3 linked regions of the Caenorhabditis elegans genome follow. The protein of the gene in region 3 interacts with the protein of the main gene of each other region in a pairwise test. Each region holds a gene or a part of one and is shown on either strand. Other genes may lie near its edges.

Region 1 (7,581 bases), on a different chromosome or scaffold from region 3:
CAACAACGGTGGCGGCACGTGGGCGGTCGAGAAGAAGAGCGATTTCTCCTGAAATTGTGACATTGAAATAAAGCTTTCATTCAGGCGTCGACAAGGGTCGCGACCCACGCCTACTGATTAGTGCGGTTCAAAAATCAAAACGTGTCGGGCTCTGGTGCAAACACCAGGGTTTTGATTTAACACCAAAATGCAAAGCGACGTCATTCCCTGAAACCGCGCCTGCATTTCATGAAAAGCCTACATTGATATATGAAGTGTCACAAAAATCTTGTCTAGAGTTATATTTCAATAAAAAAAATGTTTGCATTTATTGAATCACCCGCATATTGCCAAATACAATTAGTTTTTTGATCTTTCCATGTTTGTTCATTTTTTTTCCAATTTTTCTCTTTTTTTCTGATTATTGCTCACCGAAATAGTCCGACATTCCAAGATGTCCGACAACGTCGAATGGTGCGTCGTCGCTTCTCTTCTGCAACACATTGGCTTCTCCCTCGAGAATGATGAAGAATTCGTCTCCGGGTTGTCCTTGCTCGACGACATGAGTTCCTGGCTCGAAGTCGCATCTCTCAAGAGCATCAGCCACGTTAGCGCGCTCCCACTGGTCGAGATCGGCTGAAAGATGATTGATGAGTCTCGGCTTAAGTTCATTTTTCTTCTCTGGTTCTTCAATTTACTTACCCAAGATTTGAACCTTGGAGAGGAACTCGTCATACATCTTTCTCTTCTTTGTTACTGATCCCATCAAGATACGACGGTAGGTGAGACGGTCGATGGCCCACAATTTCACGTCGGTCTGGAAGAAAATATATAAAATGAATTTGAGTGGCATTTTGCCACCTTGGCAATGACGGTTGCAGCACGTGGAGTTCCATAGATCAAAGCAAGTTCTCCAAATGATCCACCCTCGTTGATGGTGAGAACGTACTCGTGATTGACGTAGACATCAACGGTCTTAAATATGAAAGTACGGATAAGCTCTTAGAGAGAAGCAACTCACTCCCTTATCAATAACATAGAAGTTATCTCCTTCTTCTCCCTGTTCGATGATGGTCTCTCCAGCAGACTTCTCAACTGGGAACATGGCATCGTACATGGTTTTTTGCTCATCCTCCTAAAAACCAAAAAATTGAATAAAAATTTAATGTTATTAGAAATTTTTTTGGGAATTTATTCACCTCCAAATGAGCAAAGAGCAAGTTCTTCCTCATGGCTGACTCAAGCGACCTTCTTGTAGCATCATCCTTTGGAATCACAACCTTCTTGTACTCGGTATCGTCCTCCTTGATTGGTTCGGCAGAGATTCCGGTTCTGCGTCCACCTGATCTCTTTGGTGGCTCCACAATGATGTCGTCATCATCAGCAGCGTCCGGATTTCCTCCTTCCTGAAATGTTAAGATTTGATAAGGAAAGTTTGAAAATAAAAGATGTGCAAAATAACAAACCATTTTGGAATTTTCCTGTTTCAGTTAGTTCAGCGACGGAAAAAATGAATGAAAAATCAAAATATAAAATGACCAGAACCAGTTCAGTCAATTACTGACCCTCTGCTATTTTTTTTTTGTTTCGACAAAACGTTAACCTTGAGGTTGGAAATTGTAAATCGGGAATCGTATTAAGTGGGCCACCAGGTAATGTAAATTATGTTACGCCGCAAACTTACTTGTTTCTGTTTAGCAACAGGGCAACCGTCTCCGCCTGTCTATTTGCGCAATAAAAACAACACAGCAGAAAGTAAATACACCCACTCGCTCACTCACCCGGTACATGTTCAACTCCATTTTTAAGGTGTGAACCACTGAATTGAAAATGGATTGGAAGAATTTTTCAATGGAAAGAAGCAAGAAGAAAAACGCAAGGAAATATGAAGTGCGGTGCACACTGAGCCAATCTATCGCCGAGCGAGCTGCCGCGCCGTCTAATGTGCTTCAAATGCGTACTCGTAGCTCTCGCAAGTCTCTTCGTCCTACAATTTTGCTAGTGCTCCATCAAGGTTCCAGCGCTTCCCCTTTTTTCATTTCATTCCACGCCGCTCATCATTCATCCGTCGTGACTGAGATTCGATCATACTAGCAGACACCTGGTTACTTTTGTTTCTGTTGTGCAAAACAATTTCTTATTTTTGAGGTCTCCCTTTATTTTTGTTTTTTTTTATTTCTAGAAGTTTGCAGAATCCGTTTAAAATTGCCTAAAAAGATCAGGTTTTGAACAGTTCAAATTTCTAACTTGATTTTTTCAAGAAATTTTATTAAATGTGATGTTTGAAAACATAGAAGCCATTCTAATCAGAGAATTAATTCGAACTACGCATGAAATCCAAAAATCCATAAGAAAAAAGTGATTATCCTCTCAAAAAACTATCACCTTAGGCTTTGGAGTCTTTGCGTTTTTTGTGGCGCCCACAGATTGCGAGTTTCGTCGGTTGCTCAATTGCTGCCCCATCACATTCCTTGGTGGTGATACTCTGACAATATTGATTAATAACTTGGTTAAAAGAATAAGAAAAAGTCTATGTAGGTGAAAAAAGAGGAATGTAACGGCAATTTTCTAAGAAGCAGATGTTTTGGAATAAAACATATCCATGGAAACCAGAGTTGTGGTGAGCAGTCAAATAAATATTTGAAAAAACAAACACTATGACTATTGTAAATGAAGGAACACGTCAGGAGGCAAATAAGGCAATTGTGTGTGCGTCGAACTTTCAACTACAACAACTATGACAAAACATTGAGTAGTATGTTGTAGTTGGAGGTAGAATGAGAAGGCTAAAAACAAGACGAAAATCAAAATCGGACCGGGTTTCCACATGAGACCTAATTGAAGGCGTGTGAATGTTTTTCTTGCTGTGGTAGCGCAAAATGAACGAAACAGAAAGAGGGAGAGGAAAGGACGGAAGAGGAAAAAGTAAGAATGTCAATATCTGAAAGAGCTTTGCCAGTTGTATTTAGTAGGTGGAGGGCACAACGACTTCATGCATTTTTGTCTCAAGCAACCGGCAATTTACTATAGCAGCCGCAACATTTAGACAGAAAATAAATAGTCTCGAATTGTTCCTCTATTCTTACTCATGTTGTTTTATGAAACAACAAAAAAAAATTCAATTTCAGTATTTCTAAGAGTAACTATTTAATTTCTGATTTGTCGCATCGAAGTTAATTTACGATGAGTGTATTGTGCTCACAGAGAGTATTATGCACACATTGAGAAATATCCAATAAATGACAAATTCCCTATCTTAAAAATCTGCCACGTTATTCTTAGAATTCATAAAAGTTTCTGTGGTACAGAAAATAAAAATCAGCTGATTTTATAGAAAATGACACAATGATAACGTTCGAGGCATTTTTTACGTGGAGAAAAACAAAGAGAATGGTATGACTAATATTTCAATTCGTTTGAAAAAAAAACCCATTTTACTAGTTTTCGAACATATTCAATAAAACCTCGTAAAAAACGAGCTATTTATTCGAATAGTTTTTCTCTCAAAAATCAATAAAGTCATTTAGCATCAGAAAAGCGTGACTCTTTTCATTCTCTCCATTTAACTTGGCATCGTTCTCTATCTCTGAGGCGGTCATAAAAACACTCGGCCGGATAGAAGCTGCCTTCGGGGCAAATTTTATTCGATTATTGAATTTGACAGACAAATATAACGAAAACGAGGCGGAGAGAAGATAGAAAATATCGGAGTATGCACTTCCTAGTTTTTCGAAAATAAAAGTTGTAAAACTTTAAAAATGAAAAAAAAATTGTGTATCAGCATTTGCCAAAAAATTTTCATAAACGAGTGTTTAAAATAAACTATTTTTCTGGGGAAGCGGTTGGAAAGAAGAGAGAACATAAAAGATCGATAAACGTCCGAACAGTATGCAAAAGAAATATGTTGAGAGACGCAGGAAATGGAAGGTACGCACACTTTATGGTCCTTTAGTGAATGGCATTGGCAAATTTAGTATGTTAAATTTCAAAACTTAGTTTTCCATTTCAAAATTAATATTTCTATTTACAATTTCAAAAAAAAATACAAACGTTCAAATTTTTCAATAGAAATTTAAACACACTTTTTTAATGACCACATTCCAAAAAACCGCCCCAATTCGATTTTGATAAGCTGTGTCTAAAACTGAAACACATGTGTACAAAAAAAGACATAAAAATTGGAGTGTGAAAAGTGGACTCGAGTGTTTTAGTTTTATTGTGTTTTTTTGAATGTTCCCAAATTGAAATTCTAGAGCTCCGAACTTTTTGTGTTGTTTTTCATCATATATATATATATATATATATAATCGTTTCGAGAACCTTTTCAGAATGTTGCAAGTAACGATGACGTCATAAAAAGTTTGTAATACCTTATATTTCCTGGATTATGACTAATGTTGTTTTTTGTTTGAAGCGTTTAAAATTTGTGACAGAAAAAAAAGCAAAATGTTTTGGAATTTTAAAAATTAGGTGTCAGAGAAAAAAAAAGGTTAAATCTAGAATTTCACATCTTCAAAGAACGTGACAATGATGTTTGGTTCGTCGTCACTGTTACTGTTTCCTCTTCCCTTTCTTTCACCTGACCTCCTAAAGATTTATGACTAGTCTTTTGACTTTTGTTATTTTTGTGAAAATACTACCTACTTCAATTATTTTCGAAACAAAAATTCCAGACACAAAATGCGAGGGTGTTGAAAAAACAACGGAGAACAAAAAGCATGGAGCATTAAGGAGCGGCAGAAGGAGAAGAAAAATGCGATCGTCCGAAGAGCAACGAAGAGCAAGAGAAATCTGCCCCGAGGCCTTCTTCATTCTTCGTCACTTTCTCTCCGCTTCACAAACCGGACCCGAAAAAAAGGGAAAAGAGCTCGGCAGCTGAGCCAATGGCTGCGGGCGCTCGATGCTCGATGGACAGCTCTGGAGGGCTCATTGGGACTCGTCTCAAAGGGCCCATTCTCTCAATTCTCTTCGTTTTCGTTACGCCTTATCCGCTCTCTTTCATCCTTTCGTTTTCCCAGCTAACTAGTGCCTCTTTTTCTTCTTCCTCTTCTTCTTTTTCTTCTCTTTCTCCAGAGGACCCCGACGGAAAAACGACATACACAAGGCTTGCTTTCTATGAAAAAAAGAAGCAACACAAGACGAAAAAAAAAACGAAGTGAAGCTTCATTTTCATTGATTCGAGCCATAAACGCGGAGGAATGACGAAAAAGACACAGGAAGATGTTTGACCTAATTTGCATTTTCCAGTTTTTTCTCAAGCTTTTTTTTGCAGTGCATCTCATTAAAAACAAGATCGAAACAAAAAATCATGACGCTTGGCTCCCACAAAACCGGATAAAATATTCAAATATTTGAAGCGAGTCAAACGAGATTTTCGATGCCTCAAAAACTTGGTACTATGAATGAGAATAAAATAACAAATTTCACTGATCTAGAACAATGATATAATTATAAAGCTATGTGAATTTCAAATTTGAAAGTCTGAAACCGAGTTTCATGGTTCAGAAAACACGAACAATTAAATAAAAATCCTGAAGAATTGTAAAACCCCCATCACAAATTGTACTCAAAACGTTATAATACGCTTATGCAACACTACGTTTTCCGATAAGAAGAACCGTTTCAAAACGCAACAATTAACTTTTTTGGCGTACCACGTCAATACTCTTTCAGTGTCAGCAAATTTGAATACTTTTTCTGGTCATAATTTCGAACTGGTTCTGTCATTCTTCTCACTTTTATGTTGAAAATATTTTTTTTTTCAATTTCTAAATTCTCTGCAACTCAACTAACCTGTGCTCGTTGTTCGTTGAGTTTTTCAAAATGATCCTTCAAGAAGAGAACCGGGTTGTCGGGTTTGTGTATGCACAGAACAACTGGAAAAATCGTATTCTTACTTTCGTGTTATTATTTTGCTAGATTTTCAAAAACTCACCAATTGCTTCTTTGACAAGCTGCTGAATGTTGTGTCGTTGCACATAGGCCTGGCATTGTGCCAACTGATCCTCTTCGTTTCCACCCGACATAAAAACAATGTCACCTGAATAATTGTTCATAATTTTCAGTCATTTCTTGTTTTAAACAAACAAAAGAGACAAAAATGCGAGAAAAATAGCAGAAAACACACGTTTGAAATGAGATGAAAACTTGGTGGGGAAGGTAACAGACTTTTGACGGGGGATGCCGCGGAAAAGAGCGAGATGAGCGGTTACCGAATGAATGCTGATACACCCGCCAGTGTACAACATTTTGGAAAATCTTGGCACACAGCCTTCCCAGTAGATCAAAGCAGAATTGAGCAGCAAAAAAAGGAAGAAAAAGTGGAGAAGAAGGAAAAAACAGAGAGGAGGAGCAAGAAAAGAAAATTGATACCCAAACTTGGTTGAGCGAGAGAACGAGAAAAGAGAGAAAAGAAAAAGAGAAAAAGAGAAAAATCAGATAATTGATTTGTTGAAATTTGAAGACAAGTTCAGTTCATCACTTTGATCACACAGATGGTCGGAAAGTAAATATGATGATTGATGGTGATAATTAGCAGAATGAAAAACGTCGTCGCGCAAGTACTGAGACCGGAAACTATAATTTAAAGATAAAGGGAATTTCCTCTTTTGATAGGAGATCAACGGTTACAATATGTCGCGGAAACGGACGAATTTGATTTGAGATTTTTTTGTTTAATTCATATAGAGTTACAAGCAGCTACAAATGTATAGAAATAATTTTGATGTATACGGTTTTGAATTGTTTGCATGTATAGACTCGAAATGTACTCAAATGAACTTCTCAAAAAATAAATAAGCTATTCCGTTCGAGGGGGCGTTTAAAATTTGGGAAACACTTTTCTGCGTTGCAAATTAACTGCATTAAAGTATCATTTGTATTGCATATTTTTATAATTTATCTCACGTTTTTTTGTTAATAAGGGTGCATTTAAAGTTGATAGGTTACCAAACATAATTGAAATTCAGTACTTATCGGCTTTTAACACACTTGAATCAACTAAATAATGTGAACCAAACAATCAATAAAAATGATAATTCCATTAAAAAATATATATATAATTTTCATTCTCTGCAACTTGGAAACTTTAGCAAAACTGGTGAATCTATCAATTGTTGGTCTTTTTTGAATTTCGAATGCTAATTCGAGCCCATTTTAAGTACAAGCAAAAAACAGCAATTATTTGTTGTTCAAACCCTATTTTTTAGAAAATGCATTTAATACCTACGAATGCTAACTTTTCTCTCGCCTCTTCCCCCTCCCTATGCGGTTTCTAGGCGGGTTTGTAAACCTTTTTGCATGCGAGAGAAACAAGTGATGATAATAAACTAAACTAAACGTTCAGAAATCAATATCACAATGTGAAAATGTGAAAATGACCTATCGATGAAATCGAGGGTGTCTTCATGTTATCGCCCAATTACAACGGGGCATTTCCCCTCGGACTCTTGCTCTACACCACCCGTGGCCTTTGGTCTTTGGCATATGACGTAAATTGAAATAGGAACAGGGAGAACTGAACAATATTTTTTATCCTATTGCATGCTGGTAATCAAGTTAGCATACCAGCCGACTCTCAGCTTATCTTTAATCCATATAGGC
Region 2 (2,797 bases), on a different chromosome or scaffold from region 3:
ATATAATTGTTTAATGTTACTTTATAAAATTCAAGAAGGTCTTACAAAATTCAGTTTCTAGTTTTGAAAATTTTCAGAAAAAAAATTAATTGATATTTTTTCACAGTTTTTTAACAAATTGTTAATGGAAAAATGGAAAAACTAAAGGAAAAAATCTACATAACTTCACAAATATTTGAGAAAATATTAAAAACATTTAGATGACTTTAGAATGATGTTTATTTTGGTGAAAAAGTTTTCAAAAAAGTTCAAACAATTTTCTGAATGTCGAAAATTTTTGGAATTTTCCCAAGATTTTCAAAAATGAATTGTAAAATTATAATACTTGAAGACTGAGTTTTTACCTTTTTTTTTGACTATAATTTAATTTTTTTTAATTTCTGAAAATTTTTACAATAATTTTTGGATATTTTAACAATTATAGGAACCTAGGAAGCGGTCCGATATTTCACTTTTTTTTGACACATTACATCTTTCATGAAATATCCTGAGGCTGTTTTTAAAATTTTTTCAACAAAAACAATACCGCTTTTAATTCCATTTATGTGTCCTCTAAAGTTAAAACCATTCATTAGAAAAAAAAAACTTCAAAAACTTAAAATGATTCATAACTGTCATCATGGTCATCATCGATTCCCATTCTTTTCATGGAAACTTCCCGAATGTGGAACAAAACTGAAACTTCTTGAGGGTACTGGTATCTAAGAGACTGGATAGCCTGTCGCTTCTGAGCTCCCGTTTGATTATCGTTGTTCAGAATGGATTCAAGCTGGTTTTGAACTGTTGATAACTGGGAAATTATTTGAGAAGTCTGCTGGCTGACTTGTTGCTCTTGTTGGCTCCGTTGTTGTGTGTAGCTGGAGTATTCGTTCTGGAAAATTATTGTGATTTCAGATTTTTATTTTCAAATTTAAAAAATTCAAAATTTCAGAGAACTCACCGAAAGATTATTCATCTGAGCCCATTGCTGAAGCTGCTGGTTCTTCTGCATCTGACTTAGCTGATAGTTCTTAGCAATTGCAAAATAAGACTGTTGAATATTTCTCGGCTGATATCTCAAGAACATTGGTCCGTCGAAATCGGCAAAAACTACAGCGAACAGAGCAATAATTGAAAGGTAAGACTTCATTTTGGAGTGATTTGGTAAAGTGTCTCCTCAATTTATATACTAGGTGCCCATAGTATTGGCATAGTATCTGTTTGTGCCACTGGTGAACTTTTGTGTTTGCTCTTGTAGTCTTTTGAAAAGAGTTGTTAGGCAGTTAGGTAGTCTACGTTTATGAGTCACTGAAAAAAAATCATTTTTTGAAGAAAGATCAAAAGTAGGGGAACTTTTTAAAAAACATCTAGAAGTTTTCAGAAATTTATCCGAAATTGTTCAAAGTTATCTAGATGTCGAGATTCGAAAAAAAAAGTTTAAAAAACAATTTTTTATATTTTATTCTTAGAAAATGTGAATTTTGCACCAATACTTTTCTCAGAACATGAAGATTTGAATTCCCGCCAAAGAAATGGACTGAAAATTTTAATTTCCCTTTAAAAAAAACTGCAATGAAAATGCGAATTTCCCGTCTTTTTTTTAATTCCCAGGAATTTTTACCCCTGAAACTTTGAACATTCGCCCAAATTTTTTCACAATAAAATAAGTTTTCTAGTTTTCGCGGAAAATTTTAAAAACTTGCACTATTTTTATATTTTATATAAGTTTGATATATTTTTAAGTAATTATGAGTAACCTGAACCCTTTTGGTCATAGATTTTTTGACACACTGAGAGATAAGCACAAAAAGAGACACAGACGTCCAACGCATGTGCTTACACATTCAGCTTTATACCTTCTAGTCACAGACGCTGTCCCCCTCCGACACATTTTCCAAAACTATAAAAGATGTTGGAGAGCAGCTCAAAAATATCACTTTCATACTTATTCTTTACCTTTTCTCTATGAACCGCTTCTCTGGAAAGTCTGTCATCGTGACAGGATCTTCAAGTGGAATTGGTCGAGCCACTGCGGTGCTCTTTGCGAAATATGGAGCCCAGGTAACAATCACTGGTAGAGATGCTGGAAAACTCGAGGCTACCAAGAAAAAGATGCTGAAGGTCATGAAGAATCCGGAGAATGTGTGTGTTGTCGTGGCGAACTTGACGGATTCTGATGGGCAAGACGAGATTGTGCAATCGGCGCTCGATGCTTTTGGGAGGATTGATGTACTGGTAAGTGAAGGTATGCTTATCTGTTTAAATCATTAGAGATCCAATGTTGCGCGTCAAATATTATGTAGTCATTTTTGCTCGATTTTGTACATGTGCTTAAAAAATGTACTGCGCATCTCTGACCGCAGTTTTTTTAAACACTTTTTCTCACCTTCCAGGTGAACAACGCCGGTGCCAATGTGGTCGACGGTACCTTTAACACTGATCAATCTACCGAGCTGTACCATAAAACATTTCAAATCAATTTTGAAGCCGTCATCGAGATGGTGAAAAAAACCAAAAATCACCTGATCGAATCGAAAGGTGAAATTGTGAATGTCTCCAGTGTAGCTGCAGGACCACAGGCGGTTTGTTGCTCCATAAATTTCTACCAAACTAAAACCGGATATTTTCAGCTTGCTCCATCCCCCTATTACGCAGCCTCCAAAGCCGCCCTAGACCAATACACACGTTGCGTGGCACTTGATCTCATCTTGCAAGGGGTTCGTGTTAATTCAGTGAGCCCGGGTGTCGTCACGTCCGGGTTTCTGGGGGCAATGGGAATGTCGGAGCAGGTCCAGAAACAGGTAAACGAAATTGTTCC
Region 3 (3,679 bases):
ATTAATATCTCAGGAAACAAACCGGACGAGAAGAATTTTTGCTTCTAATGTCCTGATTAAAACCACGTTTTTAGTAATTTTATCCATAAATTCTGAAAATCACGTTATTATCAATTTTTTTTATTGGAATTCAACGGTAAAACGAGCGAGGGTGGACTGTATTAATTGAACTACCCAATTGAGGTCTTTTCTTGAGAACACACACAAATTAACACCAACGTATACAATATTCTTCGATCGGTTTTGTTCGGAGGAGATTTATAAAAACACTGCCAGAGAACTCATCTTTCAAAAAAGAAGACATCGGGATTGAAGGACAACTTGAAACAAATGAAGGAAATGATAATCACACTAAAACCGAGCATGGTGCACTAATTAGTTATAAAAAATTAAGAGTGAGAGTAGGACCGAGAGAAAAGAGACAAATTGGGTGGATTTCAAATTAATACAATGGCTAGAACAATCGATTAAGGAAGGAAATCAAAATCATTATCTAGTCAGTGCAATTATTGTTGAGCGGCAAGCTTGGCCTTGAGGGAAGCTGGCATCTCTGGTGGTGGTGGGCGTGGAAGGTTGAGGGCGACCTGAATTTTTTTTATTAATTAAGAAAAATAATACCGATATAAACTCACTTTAACAGAATCATAGATGAACCATTGAAGAGCTGTGAGGGTTCCGATCATGATAATACGTGGCACAAGTCCCTTCCAGACTCCGGCGAAACCAAGTTTCTTGAGGATTCCTCCGGCGGTGGCTTGAGAGTCTTGGTTAAGCTTGGAAACAACAGTGTCGGCTGGGTGAGATACGATGGCGCAGAAAACTCCGGCGATATATCCAGCAACAAACGTGACGACAAGTTGTTCAGCCTTGGAGCACTCTGCTCTTGGCTTTGGAACAACGTATTGGTAAAGGGCCTCAACGGTCTTCTCGAAGCAAGCGAACTTCATCATGGTGTATGGAATCTGTCTCATCCAGAGTGGTGGAAGTCCCTTGTAAAATCCGGTGAGTCCTTCGGCCTTGTAGATCATTGGTGCACATCCACGAAGAGTTGGTGGAGCTCCTGGTGAGGTTTGGATACGGACCTTGGTGGCTTCCATTGGGGCGAGAAGGATATCAGCGAAGAACTCAGCTGAGGCGGAAGCAGCGAGGTAAAGAGAGGTTCTGTAGAGATATGCGTTCTCTTCTCCGAGCATGTCAGCGTAGACGTTCTTGAAGATCTCGTAGAATCCGAATTTTCCAAGTCCTTGTGCGGAGTATCCAAGGAGGGTTGGGGCCCATCCCTTTACAAGAGCACGAGCTCCTTCCTCGGCGATGGTGGTCCGGAAACCAGTAGCAATACCGGTGTACTTCTCTGGATTCACCTAAAAGAAAACAATTAAGTTGAATAGATTTTTCTCGTAATACCTGAATTCTGCACTTGACAAGATCAAGTGGTACGATGGCAGTGTGGGTGATTCCACAAGAAAGAACTCCTCCGAGAGCACAGTAAGCGTAGTACTTGCCACTTCCGAATTCAACTTGTCCAGCTGTAACAAAAAAACATTAAATTGTATAGTTCGAGCGATAAACCTTCATATGAAGAAGCTACAGTGGTGACAACACCAACCGCGACCCGTGCAACATATTGAGTGGACCCGTACGCCAGCCAGTCCATTAACCCGTCAACTAGTTGGGTAACACCCCAAAAATAAATTATAATCCACATGCATAATATCACTATAATGCCAGCCCTTCCAGTTTGGAGATGAGGAGATTTGGCTCGAGCTATGAATGGCATAGCCTTCTCTTCCGTTTCGGACGTCATTGATAAGCGATTATAACAATGCTTATAATCCCGCCTAGGCATGTGGTAGCATAGAAATAACGTGGAAGATAGTAAATGATCCACGTGAAATTTACGTGTGAACGACGTCGAACGGCAGACAGATATTCGATTCTATGTCTTTTTAAAACGCGGTTGCCACGTTTTGCAAAACGAGGGAATAGTCTGTCTCGATTCTCTTTTCGCGAGATACTATCTCCGCCGTGCCTCTCGCAGCCCTCGTCAATTTACGTGTGCACATGCGCTGCACGGGAAGTGGGAACAGAGAATGCAGGTAAAGAAAAATTCGGATTGTCATTACCCCTCCTAATAAAAAACTAAATTCTAGAAAGTAATCTAAGTAGGACGTGAATTTACTATTTTACTGACAATATTATGCTAGCTAATATATTAAGTTTTTTTTTTAAATTCAATTAATACTTACGAGCTGAAACAGCACTGGCGCAGTTACCCGACCTGACCGGCAAGCTGAATGGGTTCTGCTTCGATGATTCGGCAAGCTGGCTGAACACGCTCATGGTGGTTACCTGGAAATTACCGAAATTATTGCCAAACATTTATATTCACACGAAAAATTAGTATGCGGGAAGTATAAAAATGTAAAAGAGACACTAACAAAAATATCACAGATGATTTTGCAATATAATGCTTCAAAAATCTACAATAAAACTCAAAATTCAAGAAATTCGTAGAATAACTGATAATTTATCACTGGCGGGCCTGCAAACCGCCTCAAAAGATATCATGGACGTTCTCTGAGCCATGGTCGGCCCCTACCGTAGTCGTCTCCCGTCACTTTGCTATATGACCTGCACATCTAACTCGATTCTGGCAATGCGCCAGCAAACATTTCTACTCGATTTTTCCATTTTTATTTTAAAATATGACTACAACATCTAAAATTCTGTTTTCTAGCATTATTATTTTATCATTTAAAAGGTGTATCTCATTTTTTAACATATATAAATCATAAAATAATTAAAATTTGTGGATAAATAATCCATCTCTCAAAAGTTTATTCCAAATCAACTTTTCAAAGATAATCAATTTGTTTTCTTTGCTTTTCTCGTGATTTCTTTTAACGCAACTCTTTTTTGTCTCAATTATTAAATCAACTTTCATATTACAACTTCAGAAATGGCCGACGAGGAGATCTCAAAAGCGTTTCGCGACTTGCAATTCAAAACCAATGAAACACGAATGCGGATAGTTCAAGGAGAACAAAATAAGAAAGTTAACTATCAGGTGAGTATTTTTGAATATTAAATATTGAAATTTGATATACTTTAAATATTATGAGAAATGTATGACATCATAACTTGATAACATAGAAACTAGCGAGTTTCACCTCTTAGCTTGTGCCTAAGTCACAAATAGTCACAGCTAGTCACAACTACAATCTAGCTTTGCCAAAAAAGTTTTTGCTGTACATCGGTATTTTTTCATTACACACATCCATTAAAAAACACTCAGCATTTTTAATATTTAAAAACATAAAAGTATAACTTTTTCTCTTAAGTAACGCTTCTAATAACTAAATTTTTCAGAAAATGAGGATCTCAGAGAGCACAAAAAAGAACTTGGTGGATTTGGATGAAAACCTCAAGTACTATCGATCTGTTGGGCGTATGTTCCTGCTGACCGACAAACCAGCTGAAATTTCCAGACATGAAGCTGAAGCTAAACAGTCAAAGTAATTTCATTCTTCCATTCAAAACAGTTTACACAACCAATCCCATTTTCAGAGAGAAAATTGAAGCTATCGAGAAGCAGAAAGACTATTTGGAGAAAGGATTGGTGGAGGCTGAAACGAATCTTCGCGAGCTGATTCAAAGTAGACGCTGAACCCTCGGGAAT

The links. The genes of interacting proteins can lie anywhere in the genome.
Region 1: the proteins of F01G4.6 (region 3) and kin-2 interact in a two-hybrid assay, tested with the Caenorhabditis elegans proteins (one large-scale study listed by BioGRID).
Region 2: the proteins of F01G4.6 (region 3) and srlf-35 interact in a two-hybrid assay, tested with the Caenorhabditis elegans proteins (one large-scale study listed by BioGRID).

What each region holds. Positions count from the first base shown.
Region 1 is NC_003284.9:5,971,820-5,979,400, forward strand, and holds the start of kin-2 (cAMP-dependent protein kinase regulatory subunit), read right to left. Parts: upstream 6,036-7,581; coding exon 5,915-6,035; intron 5,856-5,914; coding exon 5,773-5,855; intron 4,993-5,772; exon of another isoform or gene 4,854-4,992; intron 2,465-4,853; exon of another isoform or gene 2,443-2,464; coding exon of another isoform or gene 2,365-2,442; intron 2,093-2,364; exon of another isoform or gene 1,977-2,092; intron 1,850-1,976; exon of another isoform or gene 1,715-1,849; intron 1,386-1,714; coding exon 1,179-1,385; intron 1,115-1,178; coding exon 1,001-1,114; intron 955-1,000; coding exon 841-954; intron 797-840; coding exon 682-796; intron 616-681; coding exon 412-615; intron 49-411; coding exon 1-48. UniProt on the Caenorhabditis elegans protein: Controls the rhythmic contraction of enteric muscles probably by regulating G-protein coupled receptor aex-2-mediated calcium influx in GABAergic DVB neurons.
Region 2 is NC_003283.11:502,371-505,167, reverse strand, and holds srlf-35 (SXP/RAL-2 family protein Ani s 5-like cation-binding domain-containing protein), read right to left. Parts: upstream 1,141-2,797; 5' UTR 1,130-1,140; coding exon 941-1,129; intron 872-940; coding exon 596-871; 3' UTR 536-595; downstream 1-535. Other genes in the region: T01G6.10 (DeHydrogenases, Short chain), read left to right, coding at 1,945-2,214, 2,373-2,561, 2,610-2,780.
Region 3 is NC_003282.8:11,147,156-11,150,834, forward strand, and holds F01G4.6 (Phosphate carrier protein, mitochondrial), read right to left. Parts: upstream 2,047-3,679; 5' UTR 1,805-2,046; coding exon 1,570-1,804; intron 1,527-1,569; coding exon 1,405-1,526; intron 1,362-1,404; coding exon 633-1,361; intron 585-632; coding exon 507-584; downstream 1-506. Other genes in the region: pigq-1 (PMT_2 domain-containing protein), read right to left, coding at 23-87; pfd-1 (putative prefoldin subunit 1), read left to right, coding at 2,960-3,067, 3,370-3,515, 3,568-3,667. UniProt on the Caenorhabditis elegans protein: Transport of phosphate groups from the cytosol to the mitochondrial matrix.